Canis lupus familiaris: one gene and its partners. The main gene of each other region encodes a partner of the protein of the gene in region 2 in a complex. Links are inferred from orthologs where the notes say so. Each region holds a gene or a part of one and is shown on either strand. Other genes may lie near its edges.

What was found.
Region 1: the proteins of CNOT1 (region 2) and DDX6 are in contact, whole or in part, in a crystal structure (PDB 4CRW), measured with the Homo sapiens proteins. The link is inferred for Canis lupus familiaris from reciprocal best matches to the Homo sapiens genes CNOT1 and DDX6. Residues at the interface, in NP_057368.3 of Homo sapiens: Glu1097, Ala1100, Phe1101, Phe1103, Asn1104, Asn1105, Leu1106, Ser1107, Ser1109, Asn1110, Lys1114, Lys1137, Arg1138, Ile1141, Glu1142, Asn1144, Phe1145, Leu1148, Tyr1149; in NP_001244120.1 of Homo sapiens: Phe329, Ser330, Arg331, Leu332, Gln333, Ile334, Asn335, Gln336, Leu357, Gly358, Tyr359, Ser360, Leu384, Arg386, Asn387, Ala402.
Region 3: the proteins of CNOT1 (region 2) and ZFP36 are in contact, whole or in part, in a crystal structure (PDB 4J8S), measured with the Homo sapiens proteins. The link is inferred for Canis lupus familiaris from reciprocal best matches to the Homo sapiens genes CNOT1 and ZFP36. Residues at the interface, in NP_057368.3 of Homo sapiens: Gln821, Glu835, Asp845, Ala848, Asn849, Phe852, Gln853, Tyr856, Asn894, Glu897, Glu898, Phe901, Gln904, Tyr905, Pro906, Glu909; in NP_003398.3 of Homo sapiens: Arg314, Arg315, Leu316, Pro317, Ile318, Phe319, Arg321, Ile322, Ser323, Val324, Ser325.
Region 4: the proteins of CNOT1 (region 2) and NANOS1 are in contact, whole or in part, in a crystal structure (PDB 4CQO), measured with the Homo sapiens proteins. The link is inferred for Canis lupus familiaris from reciprocal best matches to the Homo sapiens genes CNOT1 and NANOS1. Residues at the interface, in NP_057368.3 of Homo sapiens: Ile2327, Ile2330, Lys2331, Trp2338, Glu2350, Phe2353, Gln2354, Val2356, Ala2357, Met2361; in NP_955631.1 of Homo sapiens: Phe40, Ser41, Ser42, Trp43, Tyr46, Leu47, Leu49, Thr51.

Annotation. Positions count from the first base shown.
Region 1 is NC_049226.1:15,055,212-15,058,893, reverse strand, and holds part of DDX6 (probable ATP-dependent RNA helicase DDX6), read right to left. Parts: intron 2,927-3,682; coding exon 2,825-2,926; intron 2,341-2,824; coding exon 2,165-2,340; 3' UTR 2,158-2,164; intron 751-2,157; 3' UTR 1-750.
Region 2 is NC_049223.1:57,388,102-57,391,783, reverse strand, and holds part of CNOT1 (CCR4-NOT transcription complex subunit 1), read right to left. Parts: coding exon 3,622-3,682; intron 3,530-3,621; coding exon 3,425-3,529; intron 2,455-3,424; coding exon 2,335-2,454; intron 1,197-2,334; coding exon 1,005-1,196; intron 250-1,004; coding exon 107-249; intron 1-106.
Region 3 is NC_049222.1:114,602,846-114,607,149, forward strand, and holds ZFP36 (mRNA decay activator protein ZFP36), read right to left. Parts: upstream 2,746-4,304; 5' UTR 2,648-2,745; coding exon 2,609-2,647; intron 1,859-2,608; coding exon 905-1,858; 3' UTR 608-904; downstream 1-607. UniProt on the Homo sapiens protein: Zinc-finger RNA-binding protein that destabilizes several cytoplasmic AU-rich element (ARE)-containing mRNA transcripts by promoting their poly(A) tail removal or deadenylation, and hence provide a mechanism for attenuating protein synthesis.
Region 4 is NC_049249.1:29,582,888-29,585,905, reverse strand, and holds NANOS1 (nanos homolog 1), read right to left. Parts: upstream 1,477-3,018; coding exon 583-1,476; downstream 1-582. Other genes in the region: basic proline-rich protein-like, read left to right, coding at 1,475-1,825, 2,026-2,481, 2,740-2,802. UniProt on the Homo sapiens protein: May act as a translational repressor which regulates translation of specific mRNAs by forming a complex with PUM2 that associates with the 3'-UTR of mRNA targets. Capable of interfering with the proadhesive and anti-invasive functions of E-cadherin.

The DNA of each region.
Region 1 (3,682 bases), on a different chromosome or scaffold from region 2:
TTTTTAAATACATGTATTTACAGTGCGGATGAACTGCAGTTGCATATCAACTCCTCCACATAAAGAAAAAGAGAATGGTGTTTAACATTACTAATACGTGTCATCTTCCAGCCCTGGGCTTGAGTATCAGGTAAAAAGGGAAGAGAGAGACTCCAACTTGAAATCAAAATAAAAAGACAAAAATTTTAAAAAGATAGGAAGGAAAAAAAAATAAAAAAAGGAAAGAACTACTATTGTTGATTTCTTGGGCTGTGTCTAAAAGATGATATTCTGAATGGTCTCATAGCATAAGGCACTTCGCACAAATAAGTAATAAGCTCTTCAGGCTTAAAAAACGGATGAGTAATTAGGGAGAAGTTGAAATGCACTCAAGAGTCAGCTGTTGGAGAATTTTGAAATTGTAGACAAGCTTGTGTGTTCATCAAGATTCTTCTCTTTTCAGGGTTTCTCCCCTTCTCTTCTTTCTCCTCCTTCCTTGTCCCCCTTCCCCAGAAAACATTTTTTAAAAACCAGCAGTTAGTGCAACTAATGTTCAGTCAGCACACAGTGCAAACAAGTGGAACAAAAAAGGTAAATTCCTTCTTTTCAGCTTTTTCTCTTCACCAGTTAAAAAAAAGAAAAAAATGTCTGAGCTCTTTTAAGTCTTCATAGTTCCAAAATAAAAGAAGATGAAAAACCCACAAAGAGAAGAGCATCCCCCCCAAACGATGTGTCACAGATCCAAACGAGCCTTCTGTATTTTGTGAAAGCCTAAAGGAAGAAGGAAGAAATCTAAAATTAACTTTTGTGAAGACAATATGAACCAAGATACCTAGGTTTTCACAATCTCCATCTCAAATGCTCTGTGGAGTGGCTTCTACTGAGCCTTTGCCTGCTGTAGAATCAATCCACTTAGGATTAAGGCATTTCTGCTAGGAATCCCAGAGATAGAGCAAGAGCCTCTAAATTCTGATATCCAAAACAGTTAAATCAAGAGAAACTGGGCAGCCCGGGTGGCTCAGCAGTTTAGCACTGCCTTCATCCGAGGTCCCAGTCCCAGTTGGGCTCCCTGCACGGAGCCTGCTTCTCTCTCTGCCTGTGTCTCTGCCTCTCTCTCTCTGTCTCTCATGATTAATAAATAAAATCTTTAAAAAAAAAAAGAAAGAAAGAAACTATTTTTTTTTTTAAACATCCACAAATTTGATAGCTTCCCAGGATACCAGCAAACATAGGCTACTTTTACATTAGCCTGAGGATTTTGTTTGACATTTAAGGGGGCGGGGGGAAGAAGAAAGAAAGAAAGAAAACTAAAGTGAAGAGTAATTCAGAAACTTAGAGTAACAGGCATATGGGGCGCCACGATGATTAAGCATCACATTGGTTGGCTCAGGTCACAGGGGTGGGAGGTGGTGGGGGGCGAGGGTGGGGGAGTGGCGGATGCTGCTCTGCAGGGAGTCTGCTTGTCCCTCCCCCACCCTGCTTGTGCTGTCTCAAATAAATCTTAAAAAAAAAAAAAAAAAAACCACAAAAAAAAAACAGGTAAAAATACTCATTGGTAATGTAAAAATTACCACCTCTCAAATAAAAGACTTCCCTTGGAAAAAACTGCAAAACAGCCTGAATTCCTTGATGCTGGGTCTTCTTTTGAGCACTGCTAGCAAAGCCCAATAGTCCACCAATGAAAAGAGAGGGTGGTACAGGAAACCAGAGTGAGTATTTAAAAAAAGACAATTATCCTCACAACCTGATTACACATTTGGCAACGAGGTACTTCAGGTAATTATCTTGATTTACTACAACGTCCAGTAGAAATTAAGAGTGATACTAACAAAAGAAGAATGACTAAGTGATAAAAGACCAAAAAAAATTAGTTTCATCTTCAAGTTGCTGAGAAAAAGATTCTACTTTGCTTTATTTTGAAGTCTGGATTTGTCTTAAGTACTGCTCGTGGATCACATCATACAGGAAAACTGCATTCAAGAACAGTATCCATGGATTCTCTCAGGAGACAACAACTTCCCCCAAGCACACCCGGTTTACCATCATTCATGCCAACAGGTTCTACGCTGTCTCTGCTAGTACGTGTGGTGTAACAGCAAATTTCCTCCAGGAAGGAGGATCTTGCTTTCTTTCCTTTCTTTCACCACTATGCTCCCTAGCGCTATGCAGGGTACGCACATGCTTGTTAGGGCTTCTCATCCTCCACGGGCTCGCTGTGGTATTCTGCCACATACAGGCTCTTGTCAATGTTGCTTGGGATCGGTTTAATTTCTGTTCCCAGCTGCTCCTCAATACTTTTCAGGTTGAAGCGATCATCATATGTGATCAAGTTGATGGCTAAGCCAAGATGACCAAAGCGACCTAATGAAAAAACATTAATCGATTTTTTAAAAAGGAGTTAAATATTAGAATCGATATGTATGTGCAAATCTCTCAGTGGCAAAAGCATACCAGATTATTAACAGTTTTGTTCAGTCCCATTCTCAGTGTATGCCTTCAGATTTCACAGCCCAAAGCAGTACCCTATTTATAGGCCTTTTTCAAATGATAAAAGAGGCTCATTTGTGTCAAAAGTTGCCAAAATACAGATACTAAATAGTAGTTATAGACTGCACTACCTAATAAGAAAAGTGAGGATCTCATTTGTGAATTTTGTATCAATTTAAGCATACAGTCAAAATATTTTAACTTTTCTTAAATGCTCTAGAAAAATTAGAAATAAAAAAACTAAGTAAATTTTAATTCACTGTTCTCATTGTTACTACACTCTACTTCACAAAAGAACAGAATTTAGTGATTATACTTCTCAAAACACTCCTGTGAAGAACATCTTCCTTTTCCTTACCTGATCTTCCAATACGATGGAGATAGGTCTCTGCCAGCTTTGGGAAGTCAAAGTTTATTACCACATTCACAGCTTGTATATCAATACCTCGGGTAAACAAATCTTAAAAGAAAAAGAAAGAATCTCCATCACATCTTTCAATTTAGGCATGTCTTTGTACACACCTTAACATGCATTTCTTTTTTTTTTTTTTAAAGATTTTATTTATTTATTCATGATAGTCACACACAGAGAGACAGAGAGGCAGAGACACAGGCAGAGGGAGAAGCAGGCTCCATGCAAGGAGCCCGACGTGGGATTCGATCCCAGGTCTCCAGGATCGCACCCCGGGCCAAAGGCAGGCGCCAAACCGCTGCGCCACCCAGGGATCCCTTAACATGTATTTCTAGTGCAACTTAAGTTTTAGTCACTTCATTCAGCAATTCAAATGTACTTGCAAACTAGCATTACATTTATGCTCATTATTGTACTAACTTTTACCCAGCAAATTACCTTTCCTAGTCCCATAAAGTTTTAAAAAATACTATAAGGTAACTACAAGAGAAAGAAGAGGTCAGAATGACTGGTAAACTAGAAACTCCTATATGTCTCAGGAGTAATTTTCATATACTTTTTAGTATGTAATCCAAGATTCAAATAGATTAAAAACTGCTGTATAACCAAGAATACATCAAAAACAAGATAATCCACTTGTAGTAATTATTTATACTTTTTTAATTCATTTCATTCTACTAGGTGATTTACAAGTCTGAGGCAAGCACAAGACCACCTCTTTACTTCTCTAGTCCAACAATTACTGTGCTGATTTAGGCTTTGAAAACTACAAGAAAAGACAATTACGATAGACAAATTCCAGCG
Region 2 (3,682 bases):
AAATGTCCCATTTACCTTCTAGAAAAAGGAAATCTCTGGACACAAACAGGGCATGTATGTTAGAAAGCACTCCAATAAATAGTACTCTTCTAAGATGGCTACTAACCTTGTGATCTGTTTGTTACACCACGGAGACCCATATGCCCGGCCATCTTGAAGAGCTTTTAACACCAAAAGGTGGCACTCCCTGTAGCGCAGCAATAGGTCAGCATCAGCACCACTTGTGGCATCTAATAAACCCTCTACAGCCTATGGAAGAAAAACAGTAGTCACAAACATGGAAAATACAGGACTCGCGGCCCAACCATCAAAGTCAAAAACCAAACCTTAACAAAAACTACAACATAGCTTCTAAAGCCTCCATTTAACAATGCCTGCACTCACCAAAATGCTTTTCACTTACCCTAACACACACAACTCTTTAAATTTTATCTAGTTTATATTCAGTGTTCTACACAGGAAATGCCCCACCATCCCTACAGGGTGAAAATCCAATGTTCCCCACCAACCCTCCCAACATCACCCAAGTACTTGGATCAATCTATTTCACCAAATCTAAAGTGCTATCTTTTAAAGTTTCTTAACTATATTTTCAAAAACTCTTAATGAAAAATTTCTGTCCCATTTCACCATTGATGACTGTCATGACTACATTCTAGAGAAAATTACTTGCCTTATTACCAAACAGAATTTGTTTTATCTGAATTCTAAAATCTTAGGATAACTTAAGGAGATGGTGGTGTGAGTCACTATATTTTAGTCTCTTCTTAAAAGTAACATTTAAGGGGATCCCTGGGTGGCTCAGCAGTTTGGCGCCTGCCTTCGGCCCAGGGTGTGATCCTGGAGTCCCGGGATCAAGTCCCATGTCAGGCTTCTGCATGGAGCCTGGTTCTCCCTCTGCCTGTGTTTCTGCAAACCGCCCCGCCACCCCCCCGCCGTATCTCATGAATGAATAAAATCTTTAAAAAAAAAAAAAAAAAAAAAGGTAACATTTAATAACTAACCTTCTGGAGCAATCCAAGAGCAGCTATAGCATCCCGAGAGTTTCGAGATAATACTACAACCTCCAAAAGACTTCTAAGAGCCTGGGCTTGAGGATTCATGGCCAAAGTTGGTGGGATGGCATGCAGGTGCTGCTCCAATTCTGTAATGCACTTATCATAAATCTGAGCTACATCATCTGTTGCCCAAGCTTGCTGTTTTACAGAAGGAGACAACCAAAAAGGAAAATTTTAAAGATTTTTCGTGCAGCAATTAAAAAGTCATTTAGTATGTTTACTCACTGAATTTTTTTCTCATTGAAACATAGAAGGGTTCTCTTCCTTTCCCCTTCCTGAACTATTCAATCTTAATAACATTAGGTGGGGCAGTGAAGTGCAAGGCAGGGATTGCCAGTGGGGGTGGGTGGGGGTGGGGGGGTGTATTTCATTTGACTGAGGAAAACCCATCACACAATCAAGTAATTAAAGCAAGCAAGATAAATAATGGGATAGGATACAGCCTAGGAAATTAGGTAATCCAAATCATGGAAAATAGTATTCAGTCCAGCTATCAAAGCCTGATAGAATAACACAAAATCATTTCTGTGATAAACCTATCAAAAATGCACTATCTAGATCTATTCCTGAGAACATATATTGGACAAACCCAAATCAAGCCGTTCTAGAAAATAACTGGCCTATAGTCTGTAGAAGTCTTGAGATCATAAAAGAGGAGGAAGAAGTGTTCTAACAGACCAACCTGGGGTGAATTTAAAAAATATAACTAACTGAAATGTGCAATTCTGAAATAGGGCCTTTTACTATAAAAAAGTGATACTGAGACACTTGATAAAACCTGAACGAGGACTAATTAAGTATCAATATATCGGTGTTAACTTCCTGATTTCAATGGCAGTACTGGCAGGAGAATGTCTTTTTAGATAATACAGACCAAAGTATTCAAGAGTGACTGGGACCTAAGGGTCAGCATTGTATATTCAAATGGTTCAGGGGGAAAATGTTTCTTCCTATATATTCAAGTTTTCTGTATATGACTATTTCAAAATGTCTTTACAAAACAAACAAAACCAAAACAAATAAAAACAGGCGAAGCCATGTGGATCACCCATGTAAATTCCTCTAGTTAGGCCAAACATGAAAATCAATTTCATGGGGGGGGGGGTGTCCCCCATATGCCAGTGCTGAGCTGATACAAAGAACAGATATACTCAATAATTGTGGGGTTAAGTTTTCCTCCTAACTTAAGCTCACAGGAAGCAAGTGATAGGTTAACAGATAAAAACATTCAAAGTAAAATGTAAAACACTCAATTTAATCCCAGGCAATGACTTACCTTCATGGGTTGAGCTAAAAATCCCGTGGGCTGACTTAAATCATTTGTGGGCAAGAAGCCAGGCACATTGCGTGCAAACTCCTCATAAACAGCCAGCTGCTTTGGGTCCACACCACCAACCTGGAAAGAAGAAGAACAATTTTGACAGGATCCTCTTTACAGAACTGAACCCAAGTTTTTTGAAAGTGGAAAGTTTGCATAGGAATAATCACGGGGGTTCTGAGAGGGGACTGAGGAGTCACTGCAACATATTGACGTTGTGTGCATGACTGAGTACGGTTTGCACGCAATTCAGTGTTTCCCATTTCCCTGATTCCTGTCAAGAGTCCCCTTCATTGATAAATTCATTTGAGTTTTTCCACTGGAAAATGCTTCAGATTGGACCAAAACAAGTCCCAATTCTCCAGTGGAGCTGGTAAAATTATCAGATTTCTCACATGATCTTTTCATAGTAAGTAACTAGCAATAAAAACTTAAGTACCAGAAGGAAAGACCAAGTTGTAAAACCAAACAAGGACATGAACTCTTTATGGTAACACTTCAACCAACTGGGAGGTGCATACATCTAAGGTTATCCTTTTTTTTTTTTTTTTTAAGATTTTATTTAATTATGGGGGGGCGGGAGGCAGAGAGAGGCAGAGGCATAGGCAGGGGGAGAAGCAGGCTCCATGCAGGGAGCCTGACATGGGACTCAATCCGGGGTCTCCAGGATCACACCCTGGGCTGAAGGCGGCACTAAACCGCTAAGCCACCTGGGCTGCCTCTAAGATTACCCTCTTTAAATATATACGTATTTGAAAGATTTTATCTTTAGGAAATCTTTTAAAGTAAGTAACTTTAAGTAATCCCTCACATGAGGCTTGAACTCCATCCCTAAAGTCAAGAGTCACACTCTACCAACTGAGCCAGCCAGGCACCCCCATCTAAGTTATCTTTCATGCCTTCTCCACAGGTAGCCTTCAAATGATATGCTACTGAGGTAGGATCTGTCTCAGAAATATACAACCCCACTGTCTTAGTGAAGAGCTTAAGCAACAAGAATAGAAAGAAAACAAAGATGGTCAGAGAAAGACAAAGCCCCGATTCTCACTTTCAGCCTGATTTGCTCTGGCATCCGCTCAGCTTGGTATGTTAACACAACAGGATCACAGTACCTGCGCCCTTCTTGCCTAGCGTGTTTTCTCAGCTCAAATTCCTGCAAATAAAAAAAGTCACTGAGGTTCTTGTTATGAGGCATTTTCTTAAATAGAAAAAAAAAATACTTAAATGGTAAATGTAAACACTTACAGTTGCTAATCTCTTGTCCATCTCAGGGCCCGCTTTTTCTACTGCAGTCTTCTGAATAAAA
Region 3 (4,304 bases), on a different chromosome or scaffold from region 2:
ACCTGGGCCCGCCCTCTCAGGTGAACGGCCGGGCCCGGTGACGTCACTTCCTGCCAGGTAAGCGCCGCGGGCGGCCCGGCCTGCGGGGAGGAGGGGGGCGGAGGGGCGGCCGGCGGACCCTACCCTCTCCCGCTTCTAAACACTCCCCGCCCCTCTCGACCGCTTCTGGACCGCAGAGGACTCCGGGATTGCAGTTTACACACAGATTCCTTTTATTTAAAAATTCCAAAAACCACAAAAATAAACTTTTAACAATATATTACTTAATATATTATTATAGCATACTTATAACAATAATTATTCCATCGTTTCCAATATTACAAAAAGGAGGAAGAAAAATACAAGGGAAGCAGACGACCCAATATATATAAATACTATAAAATCCATTAGAATAAATAAAGTCGTCATAAATAAAGAGCCCAATGGCTGGGGGGGGGAATTGGGGGTGGGGGTGTTTGGCAATGGCTTTGGCTACTTGCTTTTGGAGGGAAATTCGAGCACCAGGATTCCCCCTCGGGGGAGGCTCCAGTCACCACCAGACTCTGGAACCTCAGGGTCTAGGAGAAATTGGGAGGGGGCAGTGGGAGCCTATTATTCACAGCATTGGGAAAGGGAGGGGTGGGTAGAGGGCTCACTGCCTTCCTCAAATCTGCTACATACTTTTTTTTTTTTTTTACAAGACCCAGAAAACTCCCCACCCCAACACCATGAACACAGATCTTGCACACTGGGGACCTGCCCCAGCGTGGGGTCAGGGGAGTGGGTTAATGCACTTTGGAAGGTAGGGGGAGGCTACTTGATTGAGTCCCCCGAGTTCCCCACAGCCCCGGGGCCCCTGTGGAACCCACAGCAAAAGAGAAATGGCCCCCTTGAATCCAGCTGATCTGTACTGGGCAGGCACTTGTCACTCAGAAACAGAGATGCGGTTGAAGATGGGGAGTCGCCGGGGGGCTGCAGGTGGCTGGGGTGTCCCAAAAATCCCAGCCTCGAAGACAGGCGAGTCGGATCCCCCTAGGCTGCTGCCGCTGCTGGCATATTCTTCAGGATCAGATCCCAGGGACTGTGCAGAGGGGCTCCGAGCCAGGCCACCCAAGGGCCCCCAGACGCTACTGGGGGTAGCCCTTCGGCAGGAGGGGCAACAGACTGTGGTGGGGTCCCTTCGGGCCACCGGGGTCCCAGGGGCAGCAGAGAAGGCAGAGGGTGAAAGTGGAAGGTCCCCAGGTGGCGGTGGTGGGGAGCTGGAGGGAGAGAAGGAGCAGGAGGACAGGGAAGGGCCTGCCAGGCCTGCTGGTGGTGGTGACGGTCGGCGGCCGGAGGGCAGGCCCGAGAAGCTGATGCTCTGGCGCAGCACATGAGGGTGGCCCGGGGCAGCCAGATCTTCGCTGGGGTTGTGGATGAAGTGGCAGCGTGAGCCGTAGGGGCAGCCGCCCTGGAGGTAGAACTTGTGGCAGAGTTCGGTCTTGTACTTGGGGTGGCGGCTGGCCTGGCGCAGCTCGCCCAGCCCGTGGGCAAACTGGCACTTAGCCCCGTAGCGGCAGCGCCCACTCTCGGAGAAGGTCCGACACAGCTCGGTCTTGTACCGAGATGAGGTGGTGGGAGTCGCAGTAGGTGAGGTGGGTGAAGGCGACAGTTCAGGGCCTGGGCGGGGAGCCAGGGGTGCGAAACCCGGGGGTGGTGGCACCCAGCCACAGCTTGGACTCTCCACCAGGCTGGTGGAGCGGCCAGGCAGGCGGCCACTGATCCCAACCCGGCTCCTCTCGGGTGAGCTGGGGCTCCAGAGCCCGGAGGGGGGCCAGCCTGGGATGGACTCCGTGTCTCCGTGGTCAGATGGCATGTCAGGGCTCAGCGACAGGAGGCTCTGTGGGAACAAGGATCGGTTAAGAAACCGAAAATGCTGGGTGACGCCCCACCCCAGCTGCAGGGCACCTAAGAGCTTGCCAGTCCGGTTCGTGGGCTCCCAGCCTGAGCCCCACCTGCCCACATTAAAATATGGGTGCCGGATGGCAGGGATCCCGATTTGGAAGTTCAGAATTTTTTCCTCCCCGCGACAGAAGTGTCTCCCGAGGGAACCAGAGTCCCCGGCTCTCCAGGCCGGATCAAAACAAGACCCCAGAGTCCGACAACACCACTGTCCTCCCAATTTCGAGCCTCTGGGCCCCCGGGGAGCTGACCCCTCGCATCGGGTTCTCCAGTTTCACAACTGGGGAAGCAGGCAAAGTTAGCCGCGGAGTCGGGAAGCCGTCGGACTTGAGAGTCCCCAGAGCTCCTGCTGGCCCGAGGGCCGGAGGGTCAGGAGTCGGCCCCCCCTCACCCCGAGACTCCGCGCCCAGCGCCGCCTCCGCGCCAAACCGCGCCCTCAGCAACCACTGGGGGTTAGGCCAGGTGTGGGGCCATTTCCGCCTCCAGACAGCCCTGGACTCCGACGAGTCCCCCGGCCTCCCGACCCCCGAGGGCCGCCCCACGAAAGTCGCGGGCTCTGTTTTCACCTCCTGAGAACCGCGCGGGTGTGGGAAGGGCGGCAGGGCCCCGGGCCGGGCCGGAGCTGTGGGCACTGGCGCTCGTCGCCCTAGCGGGGGGGGCGGGCCCGGGGGTCGCCGGCGGGGCTCACCTTGTAGATGGCGGAGAGGTCCATGGTGGCGCGATCCATGGCGGCGCGAGCGGCCGAGGGGTGAGGAGTCGGCCGGGAGGGCGAGCGCTGAAGTCAGGCTGCGGTCGGCCGGCCGAGCCCGGGCTTTTATAGAGGCGGGCGAGGGGGGGCGGGCCGGGTGGGTGGGGCCAGAAGGGGCGCTTCCCGGACGCGCGCCCCCAGCAAGGCCCGCCCGGCCCCCGGCCAGGACGCACCGGAGCCCGGCCCCGCGGGCGGTCGCAAGCGGGGAGTGCCCCGGGCCGGGGGGAGGGGGGGCAGGGGGCAGGGGGGACAGCGGGGTGTCGGCCCAGTTTCCAAGGCTGGAGAGAGCGAGGCGCGGAGAAGCGAACTGGGCCGTGGTGGGGGCAGGGCTCCCCGGGGAATCGACACGGGCCGAGGCCAAGAGGGCGTGCGCGGGACGACGGCCGGGGGCGGGGAGAGGAGAGAGCCGGGAACGCAGCCGGGGAGAGAACCGCGCAGGGACGCGGCCGTGGCGGGAGAGCCGCGCGCGCCCCGGAGGCAGGGAGAGGCGGGGAAGTTGGGAGACGGAAAAGACAAGTTAGAGACAGTCCCAGAGGGACAAACTCAAAAGAGGGGGAAGCGAGAGGGAGGGTCGCGTAAACTGAAAAAGCGGGGAGATGAACCGGGGGAAGCAAACACCGACAGGCCAGAAATCCCGTAGGAGCAACACGGAAGGGCGACCCAGGCCAGGTGGGGGATTTCGCTCAAACAGCCCAGGTCGGGAGGCCTTGGTCACCAGCCCCCTGGCCCTCGAGACTCGCGGGGGCGGGGGACCCCGGATCCCTGGCGAGGCAGGAAGGGGGCCCCTCGAGCTCACGCAGCAGATGGCCCCTCTGATCGGTACCCGCCCCCCAGCTCTGCTGCGTGAAAGTACTTTACGGCCATCCACTCAAGGACGCATTGTGCCCATTTTACACACGAGGAGACCCAGGCCGAGTTACTGTTGTCGAACCTGTTAGTAAAAGTTCGCCCTCTGAGAAAACTCAAGATTGGAAAGGGCGGTGTGTGTGTGTGTGTGTGTGTGTGTGTGTGTGTGTGTGTGTGTCTTTTATTGTGGACGAGGGTTTGCCTCCGATGGAAAGTCTTTTGGAGGTGGAAGGAACGGGTCCCCCCCCCCCCCACCAACTGGTGGTCGCACGGGCGTCTTTTGGAGGGGTTTGCCTTGAGAGAACTGCCAGTCTGCGGGGGTGACTCCCCACACTGGCAAGGCCGCTGTGGTCGAGGGGGTGCCCTGCGTGACACTCTGTTACAAAGGCCTGGGGAGAAAGTTCACTTTTAAAGGGGCTCTCGGTGGGCTGGGTGCCCGGAGTGCAAAAACATGGGGGCTGAAGTCGTTGCCACGGGGTGCGGCTCTACCCGGGCGGAAAGTTGCCTTCTGCGGGCTGCGGCCGCGCGCTGGGACCGAGGCGGAGACACTGCCCGGCGCACCGACCTGCCCGGTCGGACGGAGCTCGGGGGAATCCCTGTGCGGCGCGTTCTGGGGCCGAGGGGCCTTCCCGGCCGGTCCCGTGAGCTGGGCGGCTGCGGGTGCCTTTGGCACGGTTGCAGCCTCCCGCTCGCCCGTGACTCATTCGCAAGGGGCGGGGGAGGGGGGCTTCCTGGAAGCGGTGACGAGGAGGCTCGGCCCGGACGCCCGGGTTCCTCTCTTGTAACCAGG
Region 4 (3,018 bases), on a different chromosome or scaffold from region 2:
ACACAAAATTAATACTGGAAAGTTTACTAAACCTTCACTTCTCAAAAGCGGTGATGCTGCCCCGGGGGGTGGGGGTGGGGGGCTTGCTTGCTTCACCTGGAATCCGAGTAACCGATTAAGGACAACTAAGAAATACGGTTTCCAAACAATAAAATAGTCATTTTGCCGACAGTTCCATAAAATCGCCAGGTTCCAGTTCAGTTATGAGGCTTTTAAAAAAATATTCTAGACCTAGTAAAGTGCCTCGTTAAAACTAACCATCCAGGGAGCAGATCGAGACCATGCATCCTGATGCGCATCTCAAACAGATCGGACGTCTACAGTAAATAAGCGGCGCCATCAAGCTGCCCTCTCAGGTAGCGGGATCCACACCCCGCCTCCTCCGTCCGGATGTGCACAAACTAGAAAGTAGAGAGCGACAAACGGGGATCGCAGCGTCCGGGCTCCCCGGCTCCCAAGTGTCGCGCGCGGCCGCCGGCTTTGGAAGGCGCCCGCACGCCCCCGGGCGGCCCGGCGGCGAGCTGCGCGGCTGTCCCCGGCGAGGGCGAGGGCGAGGGCGAGGGCGGCCCGGAGCCCGCGCGCTCAGCGCAGCTTCTTCCCGGGCGGGCAGTCCCTGGCGGGGCGCGGCGGCGGCGGCGGCGGCGGCGGCGGCTTGGAGAGCGGGCAGTACTTGATGGTGTGCGCGTTGTCGCCGCTGGCGCCGCACAGGGGGCACGTGTAGCGGCGCAGCACCGGGCACAGCACCCGCCCGTCGGGGCCCTTGAGGATGTGCGTGGTGTAGAGCGCCACCGCCTCCTTGTTGTTCCGGCAGAACACGCACACCTGCAGCTCGGGCTTGAGCAGTCGGGCGGCGGCCGCCCCGGAGGCGACGTGCAGCCGCGGCTCGGCCGCCCAGGCCGGGGCCCGCTCCTCGCGCGGCGCCACCTCGGCGGATGCGGCGGCGGCGGCGGCGGCGGCGGCGGGCGCGCAGCCCAGGAGCACGGCGGCCGCGCGACCCGCGAACGGGCTCAGCTCGGCGAAGCGCTCCTCCAGCAGCCCGGCCTCGGCGGGGCCCGCGCACAGCTCCAGCGCGCGCAGCTCCAGCGCGCCGCCCAGGTAGCGGCCCCGGGACCCCGGCTCGTCGCCGTCGCTGTCGTCGTCGTCGTCGGGCGGCCCCAGCGCCGGCCCCAGCGCCCCGGGCCCGGCCCCCGCCCCCGCGTGCGGGGAGCAGCAGGACGAGGAGGACGACGAGGGCGGGGAGGCGGAGGCGCCGCCGCCGCCGCCGCCGCCGCCGCCGCCCTCGCCGCCGAAGCGTGGCTCGCCGTCCACCGCCTTGGTGATGAGCGTGGCGAGCCCCAGGTAGTCGTTCCACGAGCTGAAGGGCTGCGGGTGCGCCGGGCCCTGGGCGCTCACGTAGCGGGCGCTGGGCACGAGCGCCATGGGCGGGGGGGCGCGGCCGCGGCTGGGCGAGCGGGGCGCCCAGGGGAAAGCCTCCATGGGCGGGCTGCGGGCCGCGGGCCGCGCGCGCCGCCTCCCCGCGGCCGGCGCGGGCCGCACGGAAGGGAAGCGCCGAGCCTGCCCGCCGGCCTGCCGCGGGGTGGGGCCGCCTCGCCGCCTTTTATCGGGCCCCGCTCCTCCCCCGGCCTCGCCGCCGCGGCCCTGCCCCCGCGCTACCCCGCCCCGGCCTCCCCGCCCGCGCCTCGGACGGAGGCGGAGCGGAGGCGGGCGCGCCAGCGGCGGGCGGGCGGGCGGGCGGGCGGGCGGTGCGCGCGCCCCGGTCCGGCCCGCGCGGCTCCCGCGCCCCTTGCGCTGCGCCAGCCTCGCCAGCTGCGGCGACTCTCACTCCGCGAGGGGGCGGGCTTAGCGCCGCCTCGGGCCCGGGCGCTCATTGGCTGCGGACCAGAGCCCCCTGCGCCGCGGGCGCCGCTCGGGACGCCGATTGGTCCATCTGCGGGAGGGGGCGTGTCCTGCCTGCGGGGCTGCGAGGGGAAGGGAAGGGAAGGGAAAGGAGAGCGGGGAACAGGAGGGGAGGGGAGGGGAGGGGAGGGGAGGGCCGGCCGCCGCGGCCCATCTTCGCCCGAGCGCCGTGCTTTGGTTTGGAGCCGGTGGCCAGGCCTGGGTCTCCCTCCGCCCGGGGGTGAGAGTCGCGGAGCACACGGGCAGGCACGGGGATGGGGGGATGCCCCAAGGTGCGCGCACCCACCTCCCGCCTTGAATGCCCCAGGTCAGCCTTCGGAGGAGCCCCCCCCCCCCCGCCGCGCCCCAGCATCAGCAGGAGAAGCTCCGGAGAGGCAGGATTTGGCGCGCGCTGGGGATGCGGTGGTGGAGACGGAGCTGCCCGACGCTCGAGGCACTCACTTCCCCTTGCGCAGCGCCCTGGAGAGCTGTCAGCCCGGGAAGGCTTCGCGCCGGCCTCGGAGGTTCAGAGAGGTTATGGTTCTTGCCTTAGGAAGCGGTGGAGGCATCAGGACTTCCCCAAGGCGCGCAGCCGACTCCCAACAGGTGTGCCGAGAGCCGGGGTGGCCGTGAGCCCCTGACTTAGGCAGGGAGGGGGTCGGGCCAGAAAATCTCCCACCCTCGGGCCGTGATTGGTGTGTGTGCGCGGAGCTCCACACCCCCGGGGTCGGGGAGGCTGTACGTGCAGCTTGAAAAAGAAAAGCATGCTCAGCGTCACAGTTAGATACTTTAAAATGAGTCCAATATTTTTGTGAAAACAATGGAAGATAAACTGGAAGTTTTTTGTTTTGTTTTGTTTTTTAGGAGGATGTGAGGTGGTCATGCCCTTCTCGCAAGAGACAACGCTTTTTACAAGATGGAGCGTAGGAAAGGTTTTGGGGACTGGGAAGAGTTGTTTTTTCCTTTTTTAAAGATTTTATTTATTTATTCATGAGAGAGACACAGAGAGAGGCAGAGACACAGGCAGAGGGAGAAGCAGGCTCCATGCAGGGACGCGGGACTCGATCCCAGGACTCCAGGATCACACCCTGGGCCAAAGGCAGGCGCCAAACCGCTGAGCCCCCCGGGGATCCCTTGGGAAGA